Arabidopsis thaliana: one gene and its partner. The protein of the gene in region 1 purifies or fractionates together with the protein of each later gene. This does not show direct contact. Each region holds a gene or a part of one and is shown in the gene's direction. Other genes may lie near its edges.

Region 1 (14,932 bases):
AAATAAGTTGTCCCCGCGGTATACCGCGGGTTAAAATCTAGTAGGAATATATTTTTGAAAACTTGATGAGAATGTTATTAGAATTTTTTTATGTTTTAATTATTAATTTTAATTAGCTCATTTAAAATTAGTTTGACATGAGGTAAAATTAACTGATGAGATTACATCATATGGTAAAAACTATATTTTAAACATTGTTTGTTTTCCAAGAAATTTTATCAATTTTGAGTTTTTATTTAATTATAATTTGTTATTTGTTAATATTAACTAAGATATATATTTGATATGATATATGTTACTTTTATATAAGAAGTTTAGCACATATTGATTAAGATGAATTGTGTAGATTTAAATCAAGTTTATTATGATGAAATAGATAGTGAAATAGTATTGCCAAATAGAATGTAAAATATTGAAATTGGGTTTAAAAATAGTTAATAAATTAAATTAAAAAAATATGTGGGTGACTATTTAAAATTCAAATATCTTAGTATATAAAGTATGGTATGTATTCGTTTTGTAAGATTTTTTTTTCTGCAAGAATGAAGAATGATGTAATTTGGTAAGATATAAACTTGAAATTGATGACAAAAAAAAAAAAAAAAAAAAAAACTTGAAATTCTTGGTATTAGATATAGAGTATATTAAACATGAAGTCTTAAAGGACATAATTGTAATTAGTTAATCCCTAATCATAGGGCTGTGCCTTAGTATATATATGTACATTCCTACTCTAATAATATTCAATACATTAAGCATTTACATGGTATCAGAGCTTCGATATCCTAAAACCTACTTTTCTTTTCTTTTTCTTCTTTTCAAAACCTAGCCGCCAATCATGTCTCAAGTCAACGGCCTCCCCGCCACTAGAGACGAAGCTATCGTTCTCACCCCTCAGACACTCTTTAACGTCAATACGTCGAATGTCACTAAGCTCACATCGACCAACTATTTGATGTGGAGTATTCAGATCCATGCCTTGCTTGATGGTTATGATCTAGCAGGTTATCTTGATAACTCTGTTGTCATCCCACCAGAAACAACCACCATCAACAGTGTTGTCTCTGCCAATCCGTCGTTTACTCTCTGGAAACGACAAGACAAGTTGATCTTCAGTGCTTTGATCGGAGCCATCTCTCCTGCCGTGCAATCTTTGGTGTCACGAGCCACTAACTCGTCTCAGATCTGGTCCACTCTCAACAACACCTATGCCAAGCCAAGTTACGGCCACATCAAGCAGCTCCGGCAACAAATCCAGCGTCTCACGAAGGGAACCAAAACCATTGACGAATATGTGCAAAGTCACACCACTCGCTTGGATCAGCTAGCTATCCTTGGGAAACCTATGGAGCATGAAGAACAAGTGGAACACATCCTCAAGGGTCTTCCTGAAGAATACAAAACTGTTGTTGATCAAATTGAAGGAAAGGATAACACACCGACTATCACCGAGATTCATGAACGACTCATTAATCATGAATCCAAGTTACTCTCTGATGAGGTACCTCCTTCATCCTCTTTTCCTATGTCAGCCAATGCAGTTCAGCAACGTAACTTCAACAACAACTGCAATCAAAACCAGCACAAGAACCGCTACCAAGGCAACACACACAACAACAACACCAACACCAACTCGCAGCCGTCAACATACAACAAGTCCGGGCAACGTACTTTCAAGCCTTACTTAGGCAAATGTCAGATTTGCAGTGTTCAAGGCCATAGTGCACGCCGGTGTCCTCAACTTCAAGCAATGCAACTTCCAGCAAGCTCCTCAGCCCACTCGCCATTCACTCCTTGGCAGCCCAGAGCCAACCTAGCTATCGGGTCTCCTTATGCAGCTAATCCATGGCTTCTTGACAGTGGCGCAACACACCATATCACCTCCGACTTGAACGCACTCTCTCTTCATCAGCCCTACAATGGTGGTGAATACGTTATGATTGCCGATGGTACAGGTCTCACAATTAAGCAAACTGGTTCCACCTTCTTGCCTTCTCAAAATCGTGACTTAGCTTTACATAAAGTGTTATATGTACCCGATATACGGAAAAACCTAATTTCAGTATATCGCCTATGTAATACTAATCAAGTCTCGGTGGAATTCTTTCCTGCTTCGTTTCAGGTGAAGGACCTCAACACGGGGACCCTATTGCTCCAAGGGAGAACTAAAGATGACCTCTATGAGTGGCCAGTGACTAATCCTCCAGCGACGGCTCTGTTCACAAGTCCTAGTCCAAAGACCACTCTCTCTTCATGGCATTCACGTTTAGGCCATCCATCTGCCTCCATTTTAAACACTTTACTATCTAAATTTTCTCTTCCAGTTTCTGTTGCTTCTTCAAATAAAACTTCTTGTTCTGATTGCCTTATTAATAAAAGTCATAAACTCCCTTTTGCAACCTCTTCAATACACTCTTCTTCACCACTTGAATACATTTTCACTGATGTCTGGACTTCTCCTATAATCTCTCATGATAACTATAAGTATTATCTAGTGCTTGTTGATCACTACACTCGATATACTTGGCTTTATCCTCTGCAGCAAAAATCTCAAGTCAAAGCAACGTTCATTGCCTTTAAAGCTCTTGTGGAGAACCGTTTTCAAGCCAAGATACGTACACTCTATTCGGACAATGGCGGAGAGTTCATCGCACTTCGAGATTTCTTGGTGTCCAATGGAATCTCTCATCTAACGTCTCCTCCGCATACGCCTGAACACAATGGCCTCTCCGAACGTAAACACCGCCACATTGTCGAGACGGGACTTACACTACTTACTCAAGCCTCAGTTCCAAGAGAATACTGGACCTATGCGTTTGCCACAGCGGTTTACTTAATCAACAGAATGCCCACACCGGTCCTCTGTCTTCAGTCTCCATTTCAAAAATTGTTTGGCTCGTCACCAAACTATCAGCGTCTTCGTGTGTTTGGTTGTCTCTGCTTTCCATGGCTAAGACCCTATACACGTAACAAACTTGAAGAACGGTCTAAGAGATGTGTGTTTCTCGGCTACTCTCTCACACAAACGGCGTATCTTTGTCTTGATGTTGACAACAACCGGCTTTATACCTCTAGGCATGTCATGTTTGATGAATCAACATATCCTTTTGCTGCATCAATCCGTGAACAGAGCCAGTCTTCTCTTGTCACTCCACCTGAGTCATCCTCCTCGTCTTCTCCTGCAAATTCCGGGTTTCCGTGTTCGGTTCTTCGCCTCCAATCACCACCCGCGAGTTCGCCGGAAACGCCGTCTCCTCCGCAGCAACAGAACGATTCGCCGGTGTCTCCTCGTCAAACCGGTAGTCCGACGCCGTCACATCACTCTCAGGTACGCGATTCAACTCTATCTCCTTCTCCCTCTGTTTCTAATTCTGAGCCCACTGCTCCACATGAAAATGGGCCTGAACCTGAGGCCCAGTCCAACCCAAACTCACCATTCATAGGCCCACTGCCCAATCCAAACCCTGAAACCAACCCATCTTCTTCGATAGAACAACGACCGGTTGATAAATCAACTACCACTGCCTTGCCACCAAATCAAACTACCATTGCTGCCACCTCTAATTCACGATCTCAACCACCAAAAAATAATCACCAAATGAAAACACGATCCAAAAACAACATCACAAAACCAAAAACCAAAACCAGTCTCACCGTTGCTCTCACCCAACCACATCTCTCCGAACCAAATACTGTGACTCAAGCTCTAAAGGATAAGAAATGGCGTTTTGCAATGTCCGATGAATTTGATGCACAACAACGCAACCACACTTGGGATTTAGTTCCTCCAAATCCAACGCAACACCTTGTTGGATGTCGATGGGTTTTTAAACTCAAGTATCTACCCAATGGACTCATTGACAAGTATAAAGCGCGATTAGTTGCTAAGGGTTTCAATCAGCAGTATGGTGTGGATTACGCGGAGACGTTCAGTCCGGTTATTAAAGCGACAACAATCCGAGTTGTTCTTGATGTTGCGGTCAAGAAAAATTGGCCCCTAAAGCAGCTAGATGTAAACAACGCCTTTCTCCAAGGTACTCTAACCGAAGAAGTGTACATGGCTCAACCGCCGGGCTTTGTAGACAAAGATCGTCCTTCGCATGTGTGTCGTCTTCGTAAAGCAATCTACGGACTCAAACAAGCGCCACGTGCATGGTATATGGAGCTGAAGCAACATCTTCTGAACATTGGTTTCGTCAATTCTCTAGCTGACACATCATTGTTCATCTACTCGCATGGTACTACATTACTCTACTTGCTTGTATATGTTGATGACATTATTGTCACAGGGAGCGACCATAAGTCAGTTTCTGCGGTTCTGTCATCTCTTGCGGAGCGGTTCTCGATTAAAGATCCCACCGATCTTCATTATTTCCTTGGCATAGAAGCTACAAGAACGAACACTGGCCTTCACTTGATGCAACGGAAGTATATGACCGATCTTCTTGCAAAACACAACATGCTCGACGCTAAACCGGTTGCGACTCCTCTTCCGACCTCCCCAAAGCTGACTCTTCATGGAGGTACTAAGCTTAACGATGCGTCTGAATATCGATCTGTTGTAGGCAGCTTGCAATATTTAGCTTTCACACGTCCAGACATTGCCTTCGCGGTCAACCGTCTATCTCAATTTATGCATCAGCCTACATCCGATCATTGGCAAGCAGCAAAACGAGTTCTACGCTACCTTGCGGGAACCACCACACATGGTATCTTCCTCAATTCATCGTCTCCAATACATCTTCATGCTTTCTCCGATGCAGATTGGGCCGGTGACTCTGCTGACTATGTCTCGACCAATGCGTATGTCATCTATTTAGGGAGAAACCCCATCTCGTGGTCCTCTAAGAAGCAGCGTGGTGTCTCGCGTTCATCTACGGAGTCGGAGTATCGAGCGGTGGCCAACGCTGCCTCTGAAATCCGATGGCTTTGCTCTCTCCTCACAGAATTACACATTCGATTACCACACGGTCCAACCATTTTTTGTGACAACATTGGAGCCACCTACATATGTGCCAATCCAGTCTTTCACTCACGCATGAAACACATAGCTCTGGATTATCACTTTGTTCGCGGCATGATTCAATCACGAGCTCTCCGAGTCTCACACGTTTCCACAAATGATCAACTCGCTGATGCACTCACCAAGTCTCTCTCTCGTCCACATTTCCTTTCAGCCCGTTCCAAGATTGGAGTTCGTCAACTCCCTCCATCTTGAGGGAGCGTATAGAGTATATTACACATGAAGTCTTAAAGGACATAATTGTAATTAGTTAATCCCTAATCATAGGGCTGTGCCTTAGTATATATATGTACATTCCTACTCTAATAATATTCAATACATTAAGCATTTACATTAGAATCGTCTCGTCTTTTGGTTTAGGTAGAACATGTCAGCAGCCTTGGGATATAGTTATTGATCTTTACACGGACAAATGTCCTTTGACCTGCAAGAGCTTCCTCAAGCTCTGAAAGTAAGTGTCTTTCTTATTCAGGAAACATCTCTCACTATATATATGATTCCATGAGGTTTGGTTTGTAACTGATCACTCAAAATTTTGTTAGGTCAATTAGTCAATTACTATAAGGGGTGTGTCTTTCAAAATGTGCAAAAGGGTTTCATAGCACAGACAGGTGATCCAACCGGCACAGGAACTAGTGGAGATTCAATATACAGATTCCTTCACGGTGATCATGTTCTTTTTTTAAGCGATGAGAACCATCCCGTCTTAAAACATTCAATGTATATATACATGTGTTGTTTGGAGCTTTAACAAGTTGTTGTTCTTACGCAGATGGACGGTACTTTTATTGATGATAGAAAAATACATGTAGGTTTTAATCAGAGTTCTTTCAAAATTTGGCGTCAGGTCTGGAGGAAAGACTCTCAACATGGTAAAGGTAAAAGCCCATTTTCCTATATAGACCAAACAAATCATGATTCATGAAATCCTTTCTTTGCCAAAACATGGAAAGTTAACAAAATGTTTTACAAGGTCGGGAGATCATGTTGCCAAAAGTCCCGAGAAGAGAGAGCTTCGTCGTCATGGCAGTGAGAAGATTCATAGGAGAAGTTCTCATGGTTATGGTGAAGGCAGAAAACGACACGGAGATGAACGTTATACTGAAGACAAGGCAGGCAAGTACGATGGTAGAAGACAAGAGTTCAGAGAACTGGAGAGGGTTTTCAATGATAAGTTGAGTAAGGAGAAGAAACTACAAAGAGAAGAGAAAGAGATCGTAAGGATGATGAACACAGAAGAAAAATATGCCGCCAAGAAACGAGAGTGGGGATTACATCATGTCCCGGCTCATGAGATAGGGCAGACGTAGAAACGAAATAACTTTTAGATTTAGTCGAACATGTATAGTATATAAAATACATAAATTTTAACTTTAGAATGTGTATTTTTAACTTCGTAAATCAAATTTTAACGATCCAAAACGGCAACAAAAATGACATATTCTTGACATTACATGAGTCTTCATGTCTTCTTCATCATTTTTTTCACGAGTTGCTTGATTTTTTTTTTTGAAAAATTTGATTAAATAGATAAAATGTTAGTTTAGAGATAAGTGACATATTACTCTAGAATGCATATATGGACTTTAAACAAACCTCCTTTATCTCCAACTTTTCCAAAAATAAATTATGGTTAAAATATTTTTATTAGTGTGTTTCTCACTATTAAAATAATAATGGTATAATCATTTTTTTTTTCAATTACCATAGATCATGTTTCTTGTACTTGCTTTAGATCCCATGATTCTCAACACGACTGAGAAAACCATCTTAGCACGAGATAATAACCAAAAAGTCTAAAATCCAATTTATCTCAAATTTGAGTTTACATAGTAAATTAGTATAATATATTTTTAGTTTAGTATAAGGTTTTCACATATTAAATGAATCAACCAAAACATAATACAATAATTTAACAAAGATATCCTAAATAATGTAAGATTCAAAATGTAACTTAATACTCTGTTTGGTCAACAACTTCAAATTATCTCAAATGCCAATCCCAAAAATATTGTTTTTGGACAATGAAACTCAATTTAGTTTGAATAAATTTGGGTATTTTAACTACTATCTCTCTAAAATAGATGTTTCCTCATTTTTCTACACTTAATCACTCTTTTAAATCTATCTTTTCTTTATACAATAAATACCATAGCACAAATAACATATACATTATTTTCACATTAAACAAACAAAAAAAACTAGTGATGGACAACCAAACCAGGAAAATGACAAAACATTACAAGAAAACTCACAAAAGCAAAGCTAATCTTAGAAAATCCTACCTGGCAAATCCCTCTTCATCATCATGTGGATATTAATACCGCCACGTGTTCAATTCTCTCTACACGTGTCATCTTCCCGAAGGCATTCTCAGATCGCGGGCAAAATCCTTTTCTTATCAACAAAAAAAATCTCAATAAAATAAAAAGATAAAATCTCAAACTTTCTTCTAAAATTCGTTTTCCATTTTTCTTCACTCTCTTTCCGGTGACGCCATGAACGCCGCCGTGTTTAGTCCTTCTGCTTTATCTCTCCCTATCTCCTTCTCTAAAACCCGATCCTCTTTTCTCTCCAGAAAGAAGGTAACTTTTTACTCTTCTTCTCCACTTTTGGCTTCAAACTCTGTAATCAGTGTCAAAGTTACGTTTTTGCGATATGGGTTTAGTAAAAGTTTAGATTTTTAAGTGATTGAGTGATTGTTTGGTTACAGGGCGTGAAAGGAGAATTTAGGGTATTTGCTGTGTTTGGTGATGAGAGTGGATTAGTTGAGAAGAAGAGTCAATGGAGACCTTTGTTTGATGTGGAGGATCCTAGATCAAAAGCTCCTCCTTATAAAGGAAAGTTTTTAGATGTTAATCAAGCTATTGAAGTTGCTAGGTTTGATATTCAATACTTGGATTGGCGTGCTCGTCAAGATCTTCTTACCATTATGATTCTTCATGACAAGGTTTGTTTCTACATTGATCTCTTTTGAACTTGTTTATGTCTAGTTAGTTGGTAAAGTTGTGTTTTATCGAGTTGTAGTTAAGGACATAGCTATAATATGCTACATTTAGTTCTAGGGTATATATAGTAGACGTATAGCTATGACTCTAGTAGCTCAAGTTCTTCAAATGTTGTTTTTGTAGCACTCTTTATAGTATTGACATTTGACAACCATTAATGGTTTATGTTTAGTGTTTTGATGCTAAGTTTGTGGAATGAATGTATGTTAGGTTGTTGATGTACTTAATCCTCTAGCTCGTGAGTACAAGTCCATCGGTACAGTGAAGAAAGAACTAGCTGGATTGCAGGAAGAATTATCGAAAGCACACCAACAGGTTTTTAACAATGCTATTCACTGAGAATGATTAGTTTTTTTATGAGACTTCCTCTAACTCTTAGTTGAAATGAAACAGGTTCATATATCTGAAGCAAGGGTTTCGACTGCTTTAGACAAGTTAGCCCACATGGAAGAATTGGTTAATGATAGGTTGTTACCTGGCAGAGTTGTAACGGAATTAGATAAACCCTCCTCTTCAACCACTGCTTCTGCTGTCGAGTTAGATAGGGAAAAGACAAACACGGGTGCGAAAAGCTTGAATGTTTCTGGTCCGGTTCCGCCTTATAGTCCACACTTGAAGAATTTTTGGTATCCCGTTGCTTTCACTGCAGATCTCAAGCATGATACAATGGTATGTATAGTGGTTCTTGCTTGATTTAAGCGTCTTCCATTAGTTACAAGCTTCTGAGAAATGCTATTGTTTATTTCTTAAGGTACCAATTGAATGCTTTGAACAACCATGGGTTATCTTTAGGGGTGAAGACGGGAAACCAGGATGTGTACGGAATACATGTGCGCATAGAGCATGTCCTCTTGATCTTGGCACAGTGAACGAGGGACGTATTCAATGTCCGTACCATGGTTAGTAACTCTTTCTTTAGTCTACAATGTTGATAACAAGTGAGAAACCATATCTTATTAAATGTGATTTTGTAGGATGGGAATACTCAACCGATGGAGAATGTAAGAAGATGCCGTCTACAAAGTTACTGAAGGTGAAGATCAAATCATTACCTTGTCTTGAACAAGAAGGTATGATCTGGATTTGGCCCGGTGATGAGCCACCTGCACCTATACTTCCTTCTTTACAGCCTCCATCAGGGTTTTTAATTCATGCTGAGGTAATTCTTACATTTCAAGTATATCTCCAATCCAATCATCTCATATGTATGCCGCATTTTCTCATTTGTTCTCTTATATAACTCTCAGCTTGTAATGGACCTCCCGGTGGAACACGGTTTACTTCTAGATAATCTCTTGGATCTTGCTCATGCCCCATTCACTCATACATCCACTTTTGCAAAAGGCTGGAGTGTCCCAAGGTTTCTTTTAACTCTCATTACTCTGTTCAGTGCTAAGATGAAACTTGGTTTAAGCTTTCTGTTTTTGGTACTGCAGTTTGGTGAAGTTTTTAACACCTACCTCGGGTCTCCAAGGATACTGGGATCCATATCCAATCGATATGGAATTTAAACCACCGTGTATTGTTTTATCGACAATCGGGATATCAAAACCCGGGAAACTAGAAGGCAAAAGCACACAGCAGTGTGCAACACATCTTCATCAACTCCATGTCTGTTTACCTTCTTCTAAAAACAAGACAAGACTTCTATACCGAATGTCACTAGACTTTGCTCCTATATTAAAGAATCTTCCATTCATGGAACATCTGTGGAGACATTTCGCTGAACAGGTAAAAGTACATCACAAATGGATCGATCATCTTCAACCATCGTCACAGTCTTGTTTCTTAAGTTACCGTTTCTATATTTCCAGGTCTTAAACGAAGATCTACGGCTAGTTTTAGGACAACAAGAACGGATGTTAAACGGAGCAAACATATGGAATTTACCAGTTGCTTATGACAAGCTCGGAGTTCGGTATAGACTATGGAGGAACGCAGTAGATCGTGGCGATGATAAACTACCTTTCTCCGGCTAACTGTTATTAAAGAAATCTAATGGAAGTTTTTGCAGCTCCTTATTCACCAGCAACCTCAGACAAGTGTAGGTTATTAATCTGGTTTATTCTCACCGAAGAAAGAGCTTTGCCGAGTAAAAGATCTGGAGTTTGTGGATTCATCTAAAAAACCGATGAAACAAAGAACTTTTGCGTAGATAAAAGGACAACATCCACTGTAAATCCAAAGGAGATATATTGTTATTCATTTTTCCCTGTGTACAGTTCACTCTCTATGAGAAATTGAATATCAGTTTTCCCCACTAAACTAATGTCTTCTAAGAACCAATCGAAAGTTTCTTCAGCAAAAAGAAAGCTAATATTTTCTTAGCATTGGTGGTAAAATTTGGCAATTTTTACCGGACAATTTAACCATACTATATTACCATCCAAGTACATGACTAAATTTCACATTCTGTATATGAATGATTTGGGTTTAGGACAGAACACTGAACACAACTTATAGACTTAGTAAACTGTAAACCAAAACATGTATTAAAAAGTTACTACAGACATATAATCAGAGAGATAAGATCAACTTTTTTGGACAGACCAAGACTCACAGAGAAGAGCCACAAAAAGGGCAAAAACGGAACTCAGGCTCAACAACACGATCACAGAATCGACACGTAGCTAAAGAAACTGGAGGCGGTGACAGAGACTGAGGGAAGAACAGATCACAGTCTCTACAATGAAGTAGAGGATCTTTTCCAGGCCATCTCCAGACAGGAACGAAGAAGAGCTTTATGACTTTGTCGTACTCGACCAAATCGGCTTGAGAACCGCATCTTATGCATGTTCCGGCGCCGGATTTTAGGACTTGTCTCACTTGTTGCCCTAATCCACCGACGAAGAAGAAGAACATTTTTTTTCGTTTTATTCTCCTCGTAACCTTCGTAAGAGTTCAATAAAAGTATCTGTTTAAGATTTCGTATTAAGGACATCAAATAAATATAGTAATAGAGTTTTTAATGTAAATGTGATGCCTTTGTTCTTGTTCTAGTTGTTTCTAGTCGAATGTAAGAACGAAAGTTTTTATTTTGCATTTGTTATTGTTCTAGTGGTTTCTAACTTTCTAGTAGAAAATGACCAAAAAAACAAGATAATAGAATTTTTTACATAGGACATTAAAACAAAATCTTTTAACCGTAGGTATATAATTTTTTTCTTTTTAAAACATCTTATATTTTGAAACTAGGATATATAAATATATATATATATATTTATGTTATTGAATGTTATAAAATAACGATTTAAAAACAAAACTGAAAGTTTTTATATTGAATTTTAAGAAGTCAAAACTAAATTTTGTAAATGCGCTAAAAACTTGCAGTAACATCCGAGCGAATCTCACAAACAAGAAAGAGACGGGCTAAGGTCCTCAACTTACATAATCTGCGCCAAATCCAGCTTCCTGAGGTCGAGGGATTGAGTTCCTAGAAATTCTTATTCCTTATGAGGTTGATTCTTACCCACGACACCCAGAGCGAGCCCGCAGTTGTGAAAAGTATCCAGATAAGCTTTAGAGCCAGCACCTTATTCCAAGCCACTAAGTCACGCAAACCAAGATCGCCACAGACTTTGGAGGTACAGACAATTTCCCAGGATATTTTTGCACCTCTGCCTGAATTAGGGGCTCCTTCCCAAAGAAAGGCATTACACATTTGCTCCAGTTTTCGTAAACACTGATTGGGTAAGAGGAAGATGGAGGTCTAAAAATTAATAGTAGAGAAGATGACAGACTTGAGAAGCTGCAGTCTTCCCGCAAAAGAAAGGTGCCGAGAAGTCCATGAACTATTCACTTTGTCGATGAGGGGTTGAAAATCCTGCCTCCTCATTCTGAGACATGAAGGCATGCTTCGTGTTCATTATACATACCACACATCCATAAAACAGACCAAAACGACATCGTATATCCCTGCCCAAATGCCACGTCAATGCCACAAATCGTTTGATTCATCAACCGTTAATCGCAAATTATCACCGTATATTCTTATGTTGAAATCGTCTAATTTTCTTTAAGTTCAGGTAGATTATTTGAATAATTCTTAGGTTTAGGTTTGAAATAAATCAAAGGTTTGAGTTCAGGTTGGAAAAACCCGCCAACAAAAAGTTTGAGTTGATAAAAGCCGTTTTCCCATCACATGTACTCTACTGATTTATGCTAGTGTTGTATTGTGTTACTATTTGGGTGTAACATGTTAGTATACTGCAAACATGTTAAATTGTAAATGAAGTATACTGCAAACACCTATGTGTTCTTAAATCTTAAGTAACATGTTAGTGAAGGGCTTTAGGTTCGGAAACCCGAAATTTGGTAAATTGGCAACAAAACAAGAATGGTAGTATGAGCAGCCTAAAGTCAAATCTGTTTGAAAGATAGTTTTCTGATGTGGTGAAACCAAAAGTGGAGCTTACGGTCCTCTATTTTGTTGCCTTATATCTAAATACTTAATTAGGGCTTATGGGTAAAATTGTTGTTAACAGAAAGTGAAGCGACAACAGGTATATGGTCCAAGGTAAGCTCACTAACCAAAAGTGAAGTTTGGGAACAAAAACAAATATAAATCAAAATATAAAGTAGAGAAAACCAATGATCTCAACATTCGAGAAACAAAGGGTGGATACTAACCAAAGGCACTCATGAAAGAACGAAGAAATCGTGGATACCAAGCAAAGCCATTACTTGGGTCTCATCAGCTGCAGTTCAAATTCCTCTCCTTAAAAGCATCTTTTGTGTACCGATTCATGTTCCAACAAAACCGTTCTAGCCAAAACCATGTTCAGCTTCACCACTATTGTGAAATACATTTCCTTCCTTATAGAAAATCCATTCAGGGAACAACAACTGAAACCATGAGATTGCATCTAAACGTAAGCTCACTCCTGTAACTTAGACACCTCATGGCCTCATATGTCTGAAATGGTACAGACATAATATAACATTTTAAACCCCAAATTTTCCATACCGAGCTATTGAAAATTCAGGGAGTTCGAATTCTTTTCTTTAAACAATGACAAGAAAAGACTAGCATTCTTCTACTCAGAACAAAAGTCTTATTAAGTACTAGGAATACGATCTTTGGTTAGGTGAAGTCTAATAATAAATTAAGAACTGAAGAGAATCATTAGTGAAGCAACTCTACAACAAATCCACTGATCATGTCAGTAAAATATAATAATTATTCGTCCAATTGATAGCCTAATCATATCAAAACAAATATCAATAATTCCATGCAAGTTTTCCAATGAATACACCATTTCTACATCTATATATATATATATATATATATATATATATATATATATATATTTTTGACTATTTTCTATAGAAAAATGTTTAAAACTTTTTTTTTGTAATTTTTAATGCAAATTTGTAACCAGAAAATAATCATATATTTTTTAGTGTGAGACATTTTCAATCTTATTTTTATTTTTTCCAAATTTTTTCTTTAAATGGATTCCTTAAATATTAGGACACGGAACTGGCCCTTGACAATCGCACTGTTAGCCATCCCTCCTCAACTGGTCCTGCGGAAATGACCGTGTAAAAAAAGGAGGTTTCAACGTTAAGATATTTTGCTTTTAAAGGAATTGTGTCTTCGGGTTTCCACTACAAACATAACATAACGGTTTTGGTTATTTCCAACTTTTTGCATCACTCATATGGAATATTATGAAGACAAAATACGATCCATTTGTAGTTCATTCAAGCTTTGTCAAGTTAATGCAGTTTATCTATCTAACTGCAATCCATAATTTTGAGGGTGACAATTTTTGGTCACACTTGCTTTAACTCTTAATTTTGATGGCCTTGAAATTGACGTGAAGTGTTTTTGGTCTTTGTATGTTTCTTTTTTATCGATTCAAAAAGTGTTTAGAGTTTTCAAGTCTTTTGTCAAAGTTTTACAGGGTTTAGGTTGCTTCGGACTTTGAACAAAAACAAAAAAAAAACGTTGCTTTGGACGTGTAAAGGGTGCTCTAGGCCTATGTGTTCCATGTTTGGTTTCGACTAAAACGCTTGATTTCTTGGGTAAATTATATACAGTAGCCATTGACCATGTTTTTATTTCAGGATTTGGCAAAGTAAAATGGGTCTTCCACCATTTAACCATTCAGCCAAATTCAGACGAAAATACCCCTGAACCATCAAATGGCGTCCAGTACGCACAGATCAGTTAGTTAGGATCGAACGGACGTACAGTCTATAGTTAGTTTATTAAAAATTAAAAATAATCATTTTTCATTTTTACTAGTTTTTACAGTTTTTTTTCATTTTTATTTTGTAAATATTTATTATTTTTGTACTTTTTGTTCAAATTCATTTTTTTATATCATTTAAGACCCACTTTCATATTTTCATTTTTATTAATTTATTTATTAATTTTTACATTAAAGATAATTAAAAATTAACAATATCATGTATACATTTGTACGTACACGTAATTTGTATCTATATATGTACATAAACATCGAAATAATTTGTATATTTACGTTTCAAATATTTTTTGAATATAAAAACAAAACATTAAATCCATGTACTAATTACACCTGAAAAATAGATTAAAACTTAAGAATCAAACGAACATATTCGAAAAATAAGAACTAAACCCAGAACTAACAAATTATTCGAAAGGTATTAAATTTCTATACATGAATAACCTGACATATAGTTGAAAACCCAAAATTTTATCCAAAGCAAACTGAGAACCGAATGTGTATCCAAAATATAGTTATATACTTAACATAAATTATATTTAGACTTTTGTATTCTAATTATCCAAATTCCAATTATAAAATCGAAGTTAACGTACACTAGTACATTTATCAAAGAATATGTACGTAAACTACTAACTATGTATCTGGTGAATTATGTAAAGATGAATGTTTTACGTACACGAATA
Region 2 (16,413 bases), on another chromosome or scaffold:
GAATTACATAGTACAATAATAAAAGTCTAAATCTCTTCATCGGGAAATAACTCATCCTTGAGCGCTGGAGCAATCCATTGAATCTGAATATACGTAATCTCCCAAAGGTCATCGTCTTCCTTCTGCACCAAAATCTCTTTCTCCTTCATGGTACCAATCATGGTGGTCAAAAGTTCAGGGACAACCTCTTGAAGTTTGTTATCTCCATACTCTCCCAAATCCGCCTTCATACACGTATCCATTCTCCTCAACACTCCTAACCAAAAAGTTCTAAACTCAGCACTTTCTACAATTTGTTCCAAGTAAACCAAGAAAACGTTCATGAGCACTTTCATAGCTATCTTCAACGTCCCCTCCATGCTTCTCATCTCTCTTTCCGCGTTTTCGCGCCTTGAATAGTCGAGAAGCTTCTCATGCAAGTCATCGATTGTTGGGAATATGACATGGTCTATGCAGTATATACAACCAGAAGGTGTGAATCCAAGATCTTCATGACCCATGGTGAAACTTTTCTCTAGAGACGTCACTGCTCTGTTCCTTATCTCTTCTCGGCGTGCAAGGGTCGTTTTTCGAAAAGCCTCGGAGAGTTTGAGGAAAAGATGATGAACAAAGTTAACCCCTCTCAAGTTGTTTTCTTCCATGGATGATGAACTGCTTGTGTTGCTTGCCGGGCTATAGCTATTCGCGGTATCAGTAGAGGCAGTTTTGTACCATTTTACCAACATTGTCACTGAATCTGCCATGAGATCCAATATTTTCAAGTTCTTCTCAACAGAGCTATTTCTTAAAGCAACAAAACTGAAGGCGCAATCGATGCAATAAGCGTAGCTTGACTGCGATAGATGCGATGCGTTAAATGACATTAAACCGATGAGAGCATCCACCGCTTGCTCTTTGGTCTCTGGATGTCTTCCACATAAAGAAAGTAGTTGTAAAACACTTTTCCACCCTATATTGGTATGCAGATTCGCAGAGTAGTCTATAATGATCTTGCTGACAAACTCTGTTATTGTGTCATAACATGTTTCAATGATTTCTTTGTCTATCTTCCACATTATTGTCAAGGACCTAAAAATCAACTCCTCTGGTAGATGGTCTTGAAGGTTAGAAGCAAGAATCTTGATGCATACCCTAAATAAACCCGGGAGCCCTTTTTCGACAAACGGAATGGGTGAAAAGAGCGGAAAGTTTGCAACGTTGAGTAGATATTCATGGTAACTTGGCCAAAACATGTTGAACCGGTGGACGTTAGATAATGCAATGGTTATGATCAAATCCCAACAAAACTTAACCGTCTCTTCTTCTTCGATAGCTGTACTAAACTTCTGTCCTTTCCCAGCAGCTGCATAGATTAAAGACCGACCAAGATTCAACACCGCAACATCCGGCAACACTGAGCTTTTGCTGAATATTTGACCGATCCTGCATTGTTTTATGACTTTAAGGTTTTGTTCAAACTCACTCATTCCAAGAGCTACAGATTCTTCCACGTTGTCTAATGCCAAGAAGTGTGAAAACCGACCCATTAGACTAGAACCTTGTCGTCGGTTAAATTTTGTGTCCTGGCTCGAAACATTGTTCATGTCGGATTCTGATCCGCCATTTTCTTCATTTATCTCAAACTCAATAACAGACTGTGGAAGAAGCTGAAGCTTCCTAAGTTTCAAGAGGCAATCCACAATGTTCCTCCACCCTCCTCTGATAGAATCACCAAATGTGTTAGCGAGCGTGAAAACCGCGAGAGTAGCCATTCGCGGTTTCATATCGTGACTAAATGCAAACAAAGTCTCTTCAGGTGTAGTGTAAGGGTTTAACAACGTTGTGAATTTACAAAAGGAAGCAATGAGCTCATCAAGAATGTCTTCAAGGCCATACTGAGCAACTCTTGCTATAGAGATCATAGCATCAACACATTCATGAAGCACTTCATCATCATCTGAATGCTCAAAGAATGCAGAAACTGCTGCTATTGATGGACCTGCAATGGTTGCAAACATATCCCTTCCTATTCTACGATCAAACTGACATAAACTAAAAGGTTGTGTAGTCTTTGTTCTGTTCATTAGCTCAATCCATCTGTTTGGATTCATTTCCACCGGACCGGAATGTGTCGATAAAGCGAATGCATTTGTTGCAATGGACTGAAAAAGCTCAGAGAGGTATTCCTTTGGAAGGTCATTTCCCGCGTTAATTGCCCTGTTGTTGCGGATAAACTCATCTTCTGTCATTTTCCTCCTAACTTGAGGGTTATGTTGATCCGTGTTGAGCATTATAAGCGAGTAACACAAAATGTGAACAGTATCTTTGCTTGCAAAAATATCAGATGATTGTTGATCATAGAATCTCTCAGAGAAGGCTTCAATCATACGTTCGATCTTTTGAGACTCTCCCGGTAACCGAAATGACTCAAGAAATGTCCTCAATGCGGTATCAAGATTCATACCAGTGAACTCAAATGTATGTGTAAAGCTTCTAAGAACACTGAGATGTAATTCATCAGGATCTCCAAGGTAATCTCCAATCATTGTCTTATCCAAACCCGGTGTGAATCTGAAAAATGAAGCTAATGCCATTGGATCAAGAGGATCTGAGACTAAGTAGTTATACTTCAAATACTCCAAACCCTTTTTCTCATCTCTGTTGAAATGATTTGCAGCGATCGCTAGCTTTCTCTTCTGAGCTTTCCTTACTCTTATATGATCTACCCACGTCTCAAAATCCTCTTTTGGCTTATCTATCCAAAAGGGTATGTACTCATGAATCTCAACAGGGCTTGGCTTAATCACATTGGAGTTATTATCATCTTCTTCATTACCCTCATCTTCCTCTCTATCCATATTGTCGGCGATGTTGTGAATCAAGATCACAAGACCTTCAAAGGCTTGGATTTGTATAGAGGTTAAAGGACCAGAGGTAGGGAATGTATGTCTGCATAGAACTTTTCCGGTCTCTTCAAATATATTTCTACACATCGGATCACAGTCGTAGTTTACATAAGCTTCGACTATGAAAGCAGGTTGTCGACAAAAGTTGATTAGCCCTTCAAGAGCAACTTCTTGTAACGGAAGGAAGCCTGTGAAAGCTGTAACTCTCAACAACACGAAGGAGAAGAAAGCTTCGAGTTGTAGCCTCATGAACCTAATAAATCAACACATTGTTGTTAGACAAAGTTGAGAATAAACAGAGTTTTAGGTTTTAATGTTATAAAAAACAGAGGACTTACTTGCGGAGGAAGTGATATATATTGAGTATACAACTACAGATCATTGATAGCACAAGAGGGCTTGAAGAAGCTCCATAATGGATTAAATGGTGAAATAGATCGTCCTGAACCATCCGAAGAAGCTTAGGGTGTTGCCCGATCGCATCACCGCTTAACTCAATGGCGCTATTTATTAAAACTAAAGCAAAAATCTGCACATCTTCGTCTGCAGTGTGAACGTTTGTCCCTTCTAAGTTCTCAACAACTTCAACAACATTGAGCAACGAACATAAGAAATGAAAAATGTCGATGCAACATCGGATTCCATATCCGCCGCTCATGTCGATTTCGTCAGTATCAGATTCTGAATCCTCACCACCTTCGTCTCCTCTGACCTCAAAATCAGGTAATCTGGAGAAAATGATCTGAATCAGCTCATGCATTGTGTATCTTCCATTTCGTTGCAGCAAATCTCCTCTACCGGTAGATTGTTGCACTACTTGGAAACATGTATTGACTATTGTGCAAACCGCTTGATCTTCTAATAACTCCTGTTTTAATACATAACTTATTATTACTGTCTTAAAAGAGGACAAAATAAACATTTGTAGTAAAAAGATTATAGTTAATGAACGTACAGAGGATGGATGTTTCATGATTCCGGTTAAAACTTGAAGAATCCTCATCATTACAGCATCTTCAGACACCAAATCTGTTTTCTCCAAACGACAACTAGTAATCCCGGAGACAATAGAATTCATAGCATCTTTTGCACCAGGTGTTTTCTCATCGAAGATCTCGATTTTAAGGATCTTTAAGATGGAGGAAAGAGCGACAGCTGTGGCGCTAGCCGGAATCTCATCGCTTTGAATAACTTCGAGGAAAGGAGAAAGATAAACCGAAGGATCTATGGTGCGCCAATCTTGTTGAGGATTGAAAATAAGAGCTCTAAGAGATTTGAGAGATTGTTGGACTGATGAATCACAGTGGTCTGTTTCTTGGGGAGAAAGGTAACTTTCTGAAAGGGGTCTACGAATGACGGCAAGGACTGCACCAACCTCCGTGTTAAGCATGCATGATATCCCTAGCTCTTTCCGCTTTGCTCTTACGGCGATACGATCCATTTCTCACCTTATCACACTCTTCTTGCCGATAAAGAAGAAAAATCATTCAGCAACTGTTTTTTTTGTTGTTCTTCGTTTTTATTCTTTATGTGTACGGTGTTGCCTTGCCTTGGTTTGATCCTATATTTAGTATATAAGTTTTAGTGGCTGAGACTCAGTGATGGGTGAGTTTCAACCATTTGTCATCACACATCTAGGAAAACTCCATCATCAGCTACCGTCAATTTCTTTAAGGCTTAAGATAGAAAACTAATGTACGTTCTGCAAAAATTCAGATTTAAGGATACATTATTTGGATCAAACGTATGTGTTCAAGGTTTTTTTTTCTTCTTCTTTTAAAGTAGAAGCAAACTCTACGATGATTGGAGTGGAAACCATTTTTGTAGGATTAGGCCTCTTCATACTGATCTGAGTCAGACTTTGCATAGCTGAAGTTTTTTTCCTCTACTATTCAATTAACCAGTAGAGAAAAACTGACGCTTAAGAGGTTAATGGAGCTTAAATTTTACCAAATTCAGACCATAACTCTATTTATGTACTGGTCCTAGTGTTTCCAAGAGAATATATCTCTCAGCTTAAATTTTACTAAAATTCAGACCATAACTTATTTATGTACTGGTCCTAATAAGATGAATGTTTTAAGGGTTTATGGCTTGCTTAAGAAGAGCCAAAACTCTCTATAATTAACAAGTCTAAAATTGACAAAATTAATATAATTGGTTTTGTTACATGTTTGTGACCATAACTACTAAAAAAATTCACAGAAAAACTATTCAATAATCCTTGTTTGTTCATGTGTGTGATCTATTAATCAATAAAATCAAGAAAATGGATAGGAGAAATCAACTAACGTTTTTTTCTCAAAAATCTATTTATTTATTTTGATTAACATGTTTTGAACGTTAGTTAACTAATTTACCCTACAAAAAACTAATTTACCGTCAAATAAATGAGAAATCCCCTTAATGAGAAATTGATTATTTTCCAAAATATTTATTTGACGCAATTTTATTTTCATTTTTGAAAATCCAGTAATTTTACAAAACCTAATAATATACTCAAAGGAATGTTTACATAAAACATTCAAAAAAATAATTTGTTTTTTGTTTGTTCGTAAATGGGCTTTAACATCACCTCCTTTTCACTCTATCATCTTCTACTCCGAGTCTCCGAATCAAAAAAAACCCTAGCTCTTATTTTTTGTTCTTAGATTTTATCTCTTAAGCTCTTCTTCTTCCTTGACATTTCCTCAATTTCACTCCCGAGTACGATTAACAATGCATTGTCACAACGATGATGTTCGCTTCTCTTCATCTTCTATCAGAATCCATTCTCCATCTCCCAAAGAACAACACTCTTTACTCACCAATCTCCAATCCTGCTCTAAAACCTTCGTCTCTCACCTCTCAAATACTCGTAACTCACTAAACCAAATGCTCCAGTCGCTAAAGAATCGCCACACTCCTCCTCCACGTTCGGTTCGTCGTCCCAATTTACCGACTCAGATGCTCAATTCAGTAACCCAGCTTATGATTGGGAAGTCTTCTCCAATTTCATTGTCTCTTATCCAATCCACCCAATTCAATTGGTCTGAATCAAGAGATGAGAACGTTGAGACAATCCGTGGACTAAGCTCGCCTCTGCTCTGTTGTGCCTCTTTGTCTCTAACTAGACCTAACGAGTCGACTCAGTCAGTGGAAGGGAAGGATACAGTACAGCAGCAGAAGGGTCACTCGGTGAGTCGAAATGCGGAGGAACGAGTTCTGATTAGTGAGGTTTTAGTAAGAACGAAAGATGGTGAGGAACTTGAGAGGAAGGATTTGGAAATGGAGGCATTGGCTGCTTTGAAAGCTTGTAGAGCTAATTCAGCGTTGACTATTCGTGAGGTACAGGAGGATGTACATAGGATTATAGAAAGTGGGTACTTTTGCTCTTGTACTCCTGTTGCTGTTGATACACGAGACGGGATTCGGTTGATGTTTCAGGTAATATTTTGATTGTTACTCTTTTTGTTGGAGGAGAAAGGTCTCGTTTTTATGTTTCTGGGATGCAAATAATTCTCATTTTCTTGCCATAAGGTAGAACCAAACCAAGAATTTCGTGGGTTAGTCTGTGAAAATGCAAATGTTCTTCCTTCCAAGTTCATACATGAAGCTTTCCGAGATGGGTTTGGTACGTATCCTCCAATTTAGCTTGTTTTTTTTTCTTCTGTACTGTACTAGACTTATCTGTCAATTCATTGATTTACGTTGGGAGTAAAATGGATTAATGATATTGGAACCTGACAAATATTTCGAGTACTAATGATGAAGCTAAGAATTTTCTAACACATGGTGTAAAATGTGTTAGCCTTGAATGAAGAAGATAGATTAGAGGTAGGTAGTATTCTCAAAATGTATCCATGCTCCAAAACAGAGCATAATTTGAAGTTGCATTTAGTTTACACATATTAATGTATTGAGGCTAGTTAGGTGGATTCCTTCTGTTCGGTGTGTGTTTGATTGGAGAGGGTAATGGTTAGTAAATGTTGGTGTCAAGCTGTGTAGGGAAAGTGATTAATATTAAGAGACTGGAAGAAGCTATTACATCCATCAATGGATGGTACATGGAGCGTGGTCTTTTCGGAATTGTAAGTGCTCTTTTTACACCATAATTACTTTTTCAAAAAAAAAAATCATCCTGGATTCAGTCTTATACTTTGTGGTTAGAATCATCATTCTGTTGTCTGCCATTGTAGGTTTCAGATATTGATACGCTTTCTGGAGGTATAGTAAGGCTTCAGGTTGCTGAAGCAGAGGTTAACAACATATCCATCCGATTCCTTGATCGTAAGACGTAAGCTGGTGCCAATCCCTCCCTTATGAATGTAGTTTATATTGGTTTAAATTGTAGGCAATTCTGGATGGCACTGGTAGCTTCCTTTTATTTCAACTATTAGATTACGATTTCATTGATAATGGTGCCTTCTATATTTAGTGGGGAACCAACTAAAGGGAAGACTAGCCCTGAGACAATACTACGGCAACTTACAACAAAGAAGGGACAGGTATTTTTTGGGCATTTCTCAGCTTAGATGTAAAGATAAGTCGCTGACTAAAACATCATAAACTATCTGAGCTGTATTTTTATGCTAAATAACACTTCTGAGTGCATCATCTGTGTATGAAATCCTTTGGAGATCTTATTTTTAATTAAGGTTAATCACTCTTTATGGTATCATGTATGTTTCTTCGTAAAATTTGGCCTTAAAGTCTTTATGCATGAGCGTCTAAGTAGGGCCTCTACATACACATCTTGTCTAATCTGGCTTTTGGTCAATTTAGGTCTACAGCATGCTTCAAGGGAAGAGGGATGTAGACACTGTGCTAGCCATGGGAATCATGGAAGATGTTAGTATTATTCCTCAACCTGCAGGAGGTGTGTAAATATATTTCTTTCTTTTCAGCTAATACTTTTAATTTTCATCTTGTGCTTAAGGTGCAGTAGTATGAGTGAAGAAAGTATTTTCCTTGCTTATCCTTAGGCACAGTAACAAAAGGTTTTGACAGTGTCTGATTCTGAAACTTTCTTCTTTTCCTTGTTTTTTATTCCTGTTAGATAGTGGGAAGGTTGATTTGATCATGAACTGTGTCGAGCGTCCCAGTGGAGGCTTCTCTGCTGGTGGTGGGATATCTAGTGGGTAAGTTTTAGTTTGTTTGCTACTTACAGCGATTCAATTTTTTTCTTTTGTAGCTTGATGACAACTTTTGTCCAATTCTTTTGTAGGATCACAAGTGGCCCCCTATCAGGATTAATTGGAAGGTAAAAGTAATGTATATTTTATTTGTAATGATTTTTTTTTTATTTCTGGCCTAGGCTGTGTGTATTACATTACTGATGTAGTTGAAGTAATCATTTTATGCAGCTTCGCTTATTCCCACCGCAATCTGTTTGGAAGAAACCAGAAGCTTAATGTTTCCTTAGAGAGGGGTCAAATTGACTCTATATTTCGTATAAACTACACTGATCCATGGATTGAAGGAGATGACAAGAGGACGTCCAGATCTATTATGGTTCAGGTAACACCTTTACTGGTTATCTCAATGAGATTGCTGAGATGACTAATAAACTAATGAACTTCATCTTGAGTTAGAATTCAAGAACACCGGGGAATCTTGTTCACGGCAATCAACCAGACAATAGTAGTCTCACAATTGGTCGGGTTACAGCAGGTGTTGAATACAGTCGTCCATTCAGGCCAAAGTGGAATGGTACTGCTGGACTTATATTTCAGGTCTCTACTGTTCCCAATATTTTCTAAGTTTCTGTACCAATCCAGAGTAATATTGGTGTTAAAGCAATTAAAATATATGTTCTTGTCGTTTCTGACTAGATCCAAACTGGTAAATTTTTTACTTTTTGACCAATATATACGTTACCCTTAATTTCGTTTTGAATTTCATGTTTCAGCATGCTGGTGCTCGTGATGAACAAGGAAACCCTATCATTAAGGACTTCTACAGTAGCCCTCTAACTGCAAGGTATATATATGTCCCAATTCCCAAAGAATGATTTGTCTTTGGTTCTGCTCACTGTTTTCACCAATGCTGTATTTGGCCATATGAATTTGATAGATGCCATTATTAATGTTTTCTCATGCAGTGGTAAGCCCCATGATGAGACCATGCTAGCAAAACTTGAAAGCATTTATACTGGCTCAGGTGACCAAGGATCAACGATGGTCAGTCTGATACCTCTGTTGGTACATCTTCCCCTTCTTTTTTCAGTGCCTAATTCTATCTGTATTTTTATACCAGTTTGCGTTTAACATGGAACAAGGGCTTCCTGTTTTGCCCGAATGGTTATGTTTCAATCGAGTGACTGGACGTGCCAGGAAAGGCATACACATTGGACCAGCTCGTTTCCTTTTTAGGTATGCTAACTTCCTTTGAGGCATATAATTTTCTTGAGGTCTCTATTTACCTTTTGGGATTCGAATCATCATTTCTAAAGTTTTATATAGTGTATCTTACCTTGTTCATGTTTATAGTCTGTCTGGTGGACATGTGGTGGGAAAATTTTCACCTCATGAAGCATTCGTCATCGGTGGAACAAACAGCGTAAGAGGTTACGAAGAGGGCGCTGTAGGATCTGGTCGGTCATATGTAGTTGGTTCAGGGGAGCTGTCTTTCCCAGTGGTGGGTTTTTCTTTGAACATTCCTAAGATCTCATTTCACAATGGTGTAAAAATCATGACTCTCATTCTTACCCTATTGTGCAGAGAGGACCGGTCGAAGGCGTCATTTTTACAGATTATGGCACTGATATGGGATCAGGATCCACCGTCCCAGGTACAGACTAGGCTTTCGTTTTTTTTTTCTCCTTCTGAGCCTTTCCATATATGCTTGTAATAGCTTTAGAATCTCAGGGAACCTTCATCTTTGTTATTTTCTGCCCTTTAGGTGATCCTGCGGGGGCAAGACTGAAGCCCGGAAGCGGTTATGGATATGGTTTAGGGGTGCGTGTTGATTCCCCGTTGGGGCCGCTACGCCTTGAATATGCCTTCAACGATCAACATGCGGGAAGGTTTCACTTTGGGGTTGGTCTGCGGAACTAAATTTTCCTGTTTCTTTTTTAGATTCGATAAGTGTTTTGTCGGCCTTTGTCGCACATTCATCTAGATGATGCTTGTCTATTTTGATAATTTATATCATCTTATGTAACTCACTGTTTTGTGAGTGGTTTGTGCATGGAGAGAGATGTCGCGTATGAATGCTTTTCATGTAGATGATTTTCATTTTACCAAACTCCCAGTTAAAATTATTAATAGAACCAAGATTAGGATTTTTATTCTTCATCCTAGTATGAACCTGATTTGTCTCCTTAGGATGTCACATGATCGTGAGCAAACTCTTCTCGATGCAATTGCAAAGCTTGAAGAAATGTCCGATAGAGTGATAATAACTCAACATATGAAAACAAGTCTTTTAGTGCGTAGTGTACAGGGACATCAAACTCCTATCGTGCTAGTAAAGATTTATCCAAGTAATTTCCGGACATACACCAACGTAGTTCGACGAGGATGTAATAATCCCCTAAGGTCTATCTTTTCATGTGGTATTTTACAGGGATGAAATAAATTTACATATAATATCGGTCACCTGAGAATCATATTCAGGTCCTTCCATCTGGAAATGACTAACGCCTTCAATGAGGTGTGTTTCAGTGCGTCCGACTGCAGATTTCAGCTTCTTCTTTAGCTGGCTAACGCTAGTGAACCCGTCTTGTGTTCCCATTACGAAGAGTTTGGGTTTAGGGGATGAGAGAATGGCCTTGTGGTGTCGCCCAAAGAGAATCGAGGCCATTAGGCCAAATGGGTATCCCAAACTCACATATCCCACCACTTGCTCTACTTGCTCCACCGCTGATCCTGCGATTGGTGCACCTGCCAAAGAGTCAAAACTTCAATTATTTTTCCTTTAACCAATATAAAGAAGTTGGCATGAGATATCAAATTTGTCTCAGAATATTCATTTGAAAAGTAATGTGATCACTTCATCCATTAAACACGTCATATCAGAAAGTTAGTCGGTCACTATGATCAGTATAGGTAAGAGATGTGTTAGATGCTGTAGTATTTTATCTACAAATTTCTTATTTGCTATTGGTTCTATGCTCAGCAAGAAATTATGGAAAATACATTATGTGTAACAAACACGCAAAGAGATGCAAGTATACCAATAAAAGGGGGCACTGAAAGCAATCCTAGAAGAACTGATACGTTCATAGTCTTTAAAAAACTCCTGAAAGGACTCATATATCATCAATTGCAGTTTTGCAAATATGTGTAAGGGACATCAAAACAGAATTATGACACACAAACAAGAAACAGAGTTATCTCGGTAGATAAGAAGAACAAACGAGAATTTCCTTTGGGAGACTGTAACATCTGATAAAGTCTACCTCAAAACCACCTAGACACTCTAAATTGACTCTGTTCAATGTTAAAACAATGCTAATCTTCTTCTTTCCACAGTGGATTGAACTTTCTTACTCCATTCTCATCTTATCAGACCATCACTATACTCAAACATGGAACGTCAATTACATCAACTAAAACCACTTAGAGATACACGAGAGAGAAAACCTGGAACTTAACATGACCAACACCAAACCGGAACAAAGTTATCTCAGCTGATAATATCAACTAAATGAGCAAACAAAAGAGCATAAGCATAAACCTAAAACCAATTATTCTGTGTCACCAATCCGTTGTAATGTTAATGAGAAGTGAATAAGCAGCAAAAGGGTCACATTTTATCTTAAAAACCAACAGATCAAACACAAATTTTAACATAAAGCAATGCCCAGAATCTGTATACGAATCCATATACTGAATTCGAAATCAACTGTTACAGATCAACTTGTAAGAAGCAATTACCAGATCAAAAACATCAGACTTTAACTTGCAATCAAATTCAAACTAAAACCAGATCAACAACGAAAGGAGCAACAAAATCAAAACTTGAATGGCATAGAAGAACCTTACCAGCAGAAGAACCCACGAGCAGGATCCTATGAGCATCAACATTCTGACAAAGCCACCGACAAACAGCGACCACATCCTTGACCTCAGCAAAGCCGGTAAGAGTAGCTCTTCCGGTGGATTTTCCGGCACCTCTCGTATCGAAAGTGACAGACTTGAAACCCTTAGAGGCCAATTCAGAAGCTATGCCTTTGAGCAGAGCTTGACAACCACCCAAGAGCGAGAACGGGTGGACCAATACTATCACCAGATTCTCATCGTCGCTGACTTCTTCTCCTTCGTTTCTGGGTTTGAAGATTCTCGTGTGAAGCTTCACCCCTTCTTCTGAATCAACGCTACACGATTCCACTATAAAGTTTGACGACATTTTAGGAGAGACGACGAATGAACAAGTAAGGAACTTTTTTGTTTTACACTTCTTCCAGAGTTATTAATATGTTGATAACCACTACTCCACTAGCACGAAGCCAAAATTTTCTCAATATATATATATATATATATATATATATATATATATATATATATATATATATATATAGATTACTAATACTTGCAAAAAAAGTTCTTTACTTTTAAAAATCAATATATTTATATAGTAATAATTGGCTAATAAATTTATATATTTCAAAATAAGATTTTAAAAATTATCCACAAAATAAAATCAACGGTTAGAAGTTCTACTCAATGTTAATACTCTTCATTACGGTGTGCTTTTGGACCATGTTTGGTTTTAAATAATTCTTGTAAAATTATACTTGTGGGGCTTTTGTTTATTTTAGCCCATGTTTATTGGTTCAGTTTAATAATATCAGACACTTGTGAAAAAAATAAAGATTATAAAAAATTTTAATTAAAAAAAATATTCGATAATATATCTCATATATAAATTTCTTATTTGATATTTTTCTGTTGAAGTGATGATTTCATATGTCATAAATTATATTGTAAGAAAATGTGCATATTAGTTATTTCATATTCGCAGTTCAAAATTATATACTTATTAAGATAACCCTTTTTGATATTATCATAAAACAAAAATATATTTGGTTTTCTATTTTTGTTTGAATTGTATATGATCAGAATGGCGTTTTTTTGTTTGTTCAATAATAATTTTATTAAGTCACCACCATATTGACTAATTAAAAAATGGGATTGTGACACGTTTAGGCACTTTTTGATAATATTATTCTTTTTGAGACACTTATGAGAGAGTGAGCACTTTGCCATCTTTTTGAGAGAAAATTGGACCAATTTACCCCTAAAGTAGTGATTACGCAATAATTTTAACTCATTATTGTTGAGATCGTGTGGGTGAGAAATTTTCTTCTTTTTATCATCTCTCTCTTCCATATTCTTTTGTTTTTCATCATTTTCAATTCTCTCTTTCAAAATCATTGTTGTTCTCTATAATTCTTACAAAATCATGGTCGTTCCCATTAATTTTCTCTCCTTTCCATAAGAAATCACCAATCTTCATTATACCATATATAATCTCCTCATAAACTTTCGATTTGTCGTCTCCTCATAATCTCTTCATAATCTCCAAGTTTGAGATCCACGACAACAAACCCAGGAAGAAGATGATCATCATCCTTGCGATTCTCAGAATCCTCTAACAATAAGTTTCTTTGTTATTGTCTCTACTGATTTTTTCTGTTTATATCACCGTGAAATTCTAGATATTACGATGTTACAGAGATTAGAGGTCTTTGTTCATCGTGAATTTACTTGCGATTAAATCGAACAATTAGTGGATTAGGCTTTTATAGTTTGCTAGTCATGTTTTTTCTGAAAATATTGAAGTTATGGGTTTAATTTATTTGAAAACTGATAGAGAAGCCCAAGTTGATATATCGAACGTTGATGGATGTGTTTGGTAAATCTTTGTTCGTGGATAAAAGTGTGTTTGTAGCTCGCTCTGCTTTTGTTATTGGTATGTGCATTATGGATGGCTTATTATGGATTGTGAATTATGGATTGTTATGGTGAGATTTGTGAATCTTTTCATGTTTGATTAATAGGTGAACAATCCCAAAAACAAGCTATATGTGGTGATTTTGTTACAATGATGTCCATATTAATTGGTGGTTACAGAACACTTGCTGCAAAGGCTACAGAACAGTGGCTGAAAAGCGGTGGATAGAGGACATTGACGAGTGTCCAAAAAATCAAGTCCAAATGGTCACCTAGTAACTCACATGTCGTTTCATATCAATGCACAAATTTAGACATGAACAGTAATCGTCGATAAAAAATTGTTGAGCTTTTGGGGTTCTTCCTCTATTTAACTTTTAGAGGTTCACTTCTCTTACATCTCTCATTTCTCATTAATGCTTTGCTTAACTCACTCATTTTAACACAAGCACAAAAAGAACCTTCACTCTCTTTCTCTCTAGTCTTTGGTTAGTTTCTTGTTTTGACACGAAGACATAAAACGATTAGTAAGAGAGAGAAAAGAGAAAACATTAGTTGTCAACATTTTTGTATTGGATCTAAAGATAAATTCTTATAACAAGACATACACACATTTGTGGATGGTTATAATTGTTAAATCCAACTTTTAATTTTACTGAAATTACAGAAGATCTCTACAAGGTCTCAAAGGCTCACGTTGTATCCATGAAGCTAAAGTTCATGAACCAAAATTAGCAAAGGCTGTCCACAACACTGACTGTCATTATGATGTGTGTCCATATATCCAACGTTTTATGGTAGAGTTTATATAGTATAGTATGTGAATGTATTAACCTTGTGGATGTAATTGTATGGTTAATTTTGTTCATTTAATAAGATTAACCAAATTAATTGGTCATGGTTTCCAAAATAATCTCGAATCCTTTGTAAAAAAAAACTAATCTGCGAAATATAAGTGAAGAGAATCAGAGCTAGATCCACGTTTGAGAGGATAACGTCCTCTTGACGGAGATATGATTGTTGGAGCGGCAAAAAGATAGGGTCTAGAACTTCGAGAGAAAGAGAGAAACGTAACTTGCCCAAGTGGTTACAATTTTGATGCGGTTGTTGAAATTCGGGAGAGGCTTCACGATCATGGAATCGAAATCGAAAGAGAGAATGTCGATAGCGTTGTTGTAATTTTCGAGGAAACTTCTGACGGAAATTCTGTGACCGGAGACTTTCACATGTTTTGGAATCGGATCCAGCAGACAAAGGTGGATTTGAGAATATATTTGAAAAAGATCTCGAGAGAGAAAGAAGAAGAGAAGCAATAGATTGTTGAGAGATAAGGAAGATGATGATAAACCTTAAGAGATTCAATTTTGAATATTAAGAGTGTCCTAAAAGATTGGATTTTTATTCTGGAAAGAGAGATGAAGAACAAGAGAGGCCAAAATTGTTTTTGTATTCCTAAAAAAAAAGATAACGAAGAGATATTACTAGAGAATATTACGTGTTGAGGCACTTTTCTGAAAGTTTAGCCGTAATTAGGCACTTCACAATCATTAGACACTTTTTTGATGTGAATTGACATCACTACCCTTTAACTATCTCTTCCTTTGCTTAGTAATATCTCTTCGTTATCTTTTTTTTTAGGAATACAAAAACAATTTTGGCCTCTCTTGTTCTTCATCTCTCTTTCCAGAATAAAAATCCAATCTTTTAGGACACTCTTAATATTCAAAATTGAATCTCTTAAGGTTTATCATCATCTTCCTTATCTCTCAACAATCTATTGCTTCTCTTCTTCTTTCTCTCTCGAGATCTTTTTCAAATATATTCTCAAATCCACCTTTGTCTGCTGGATCCGATTCCAAAACATGTGAAAGTCTCCGGTCACAGAATTTCCGTCAGAAGTTTCCTCGAAAATTACAACAACGCTATCGACATTCTCTCTTTCGATTTCGATTCCATGATCGTGAAGCCTCTCCCGAATTTCAACAACCGCATCAAAATTGTAACCACTTGGGCAAGTTACGTTTCTCTCTTTCTCTCGAAGTTCTAGACCCTATCTTTTTGCCGCTCCAACAATCATATCTCCGTCAAGAGGACGTTATCCTCTCAAACGTGGATCTAGCTCTGATTCTCTTCACTTATATTTCGCAGATTAGTTTTTTTTTACAAAGGATTCGAGATTATTTTGGAAACCATGACCAATTAATTTGGTTAATCTTATTAAATGAACAAAATTAACCATACAATTACATCCACAAGGTTAATACATTCACATACTATACTATATAAACTCTACCATAAAACGTTGGATATATGGACACACATCATAATGACAGTCAGTGTTGTGGACAGCCTTTGCTAATTTTGGTTCATGAACTTTAGCTTCATGGATACAACGTGAGCCTTTGAGACCTTGTAGAGATCTTCTGTAATTTCAGTAAAATTAAAAGTTGGATTTAACAATTATAACCATCCACAAATGTGTGTATGTCTTGTTATAAGAATTTATCTTTAGATCCAATACAAAAATGTTGACAACTAATGTTTTCTCTTTTCTCTCTCTTACTAATCGTTTTATGTCTTCGTGTCAAAACAAGAAACTAACCAAAGACTAGAGAGAAAGAGAGTGAAGGTTCTTTTTGTGCTTGTGT

Evidence for each region.
Region 2: the proteins of CH1 (region 1) and OEP80 purify together in Arabidopsis thaliana (affinity purification with western blotting, with the first as the bait; one study listed by BioGRID). This does not show direct contact.

The regions. Positions count from the first base shown.
Region 1 is NC_003070.9:16,843,742-16,858,673, reverse strand, and holds CH1 (Pheophorbide a oxygenase family protein with Rieske 2Fe-2S domain-containing protein), read left to right. Parts: upstream 1-7,402; 5' UTR 7,403-7,521; coding exon 7,522-7,608; intron 7,609-7,663; exon of another isoform or gene 7,664-7,736; coding exon 7,737-7,973; intron 7,974-8,241; coding exon 8,242-8,346; intron 8,347-8,424; coding exon 8,425-8,700; intron 8,701-8,782; coding exon 8,783-8,930; intron 8,931-9,005; coding exon 9,006-9,190; intron 9,191-9,278; coding exon 9,279-9,391; coding exon of another isoform or gene 9,392-9,467; coding exon 9,468-9,762; coding exon of another isoform or gene 9,763-9,845; coding exon 9,846-10,010; 3' UTR 10,011-10,366; downstream 10,367-14,932. Other genes in the region: AT1G44478 (Cyclophilin), read left to right, coding at 5,436-5,474, 5,589-5,696, 5,796-5,901, 6,005-6,333; AT1G44414 (zinc-ribbon domain protein), read right to left, coding at 10,588-10,893. UniProt on the Arabidopsis thaliana protein: Catalyzes a two-step oxygenase reaction involved in the synthesis of chlorophyll b. Acts specifically on the non-esterified chlorophyllide a and not on chlorophyll a.
Region 2 is NC_003076.8:6,617,720-6,634,132, forward strand, and holds OEP80 (outer envelope protein of 80 kDa), read left to right. Parts: upstream 1-5,477; 5' UTR 5,478-5,603; coding exon 5,604-6,311; intron 6,312-6,404; coding exon 6,405-6,498; intron 6,499-6,872; coding exon 6,873-6,955; intron 6,956-7,063; coding exon 7,064-7,161; intron 7,162-7,302; coding exon 7,303-7,372; intron 7,373-7,649; coding exon 7,650-7,743; intron 7,744-7,923; coding exon 7,924-8,005; intron 8,006-8,091; coding exon 8,092-8,127; intron 8,128-8,230; coding exon 8,231-8,384; intron 8,385-8,458; coding exon 8,459-8,599; intron 8,600-8,775; coding exon 8,776-8,846; intron 8,847-8,967; coding exon 8,968-9,046; intron 9,047-9,122; coding exon 9,123-9,238; intron 9,239-9,355; coding exon 9,356-9,503; intron 9,504-9,586; coding exon 9,587-9,656; intron 9,657-9,767; coding exon 9,768-9,922; 3' UTR 9,923-10,175; downstream 10,176-16,413. Other genes in the region: GNL2 (GNOM-like 2), read right to left, coding at 27-3,138, 3,224-3,753, 3,841-4,326; AT5G19630 (alpha/beta-Hydrolases superfamily protein), read right to left, coding at 10,428-10,750, 11,855-12,218; AT5G19633 (uncharacterized protein), read left to right, coding at 13,715-13,784, 13,873-13,994. UniProt on the Arabidopsis thaliana protein: Plays an essential role during early stages of plastid development.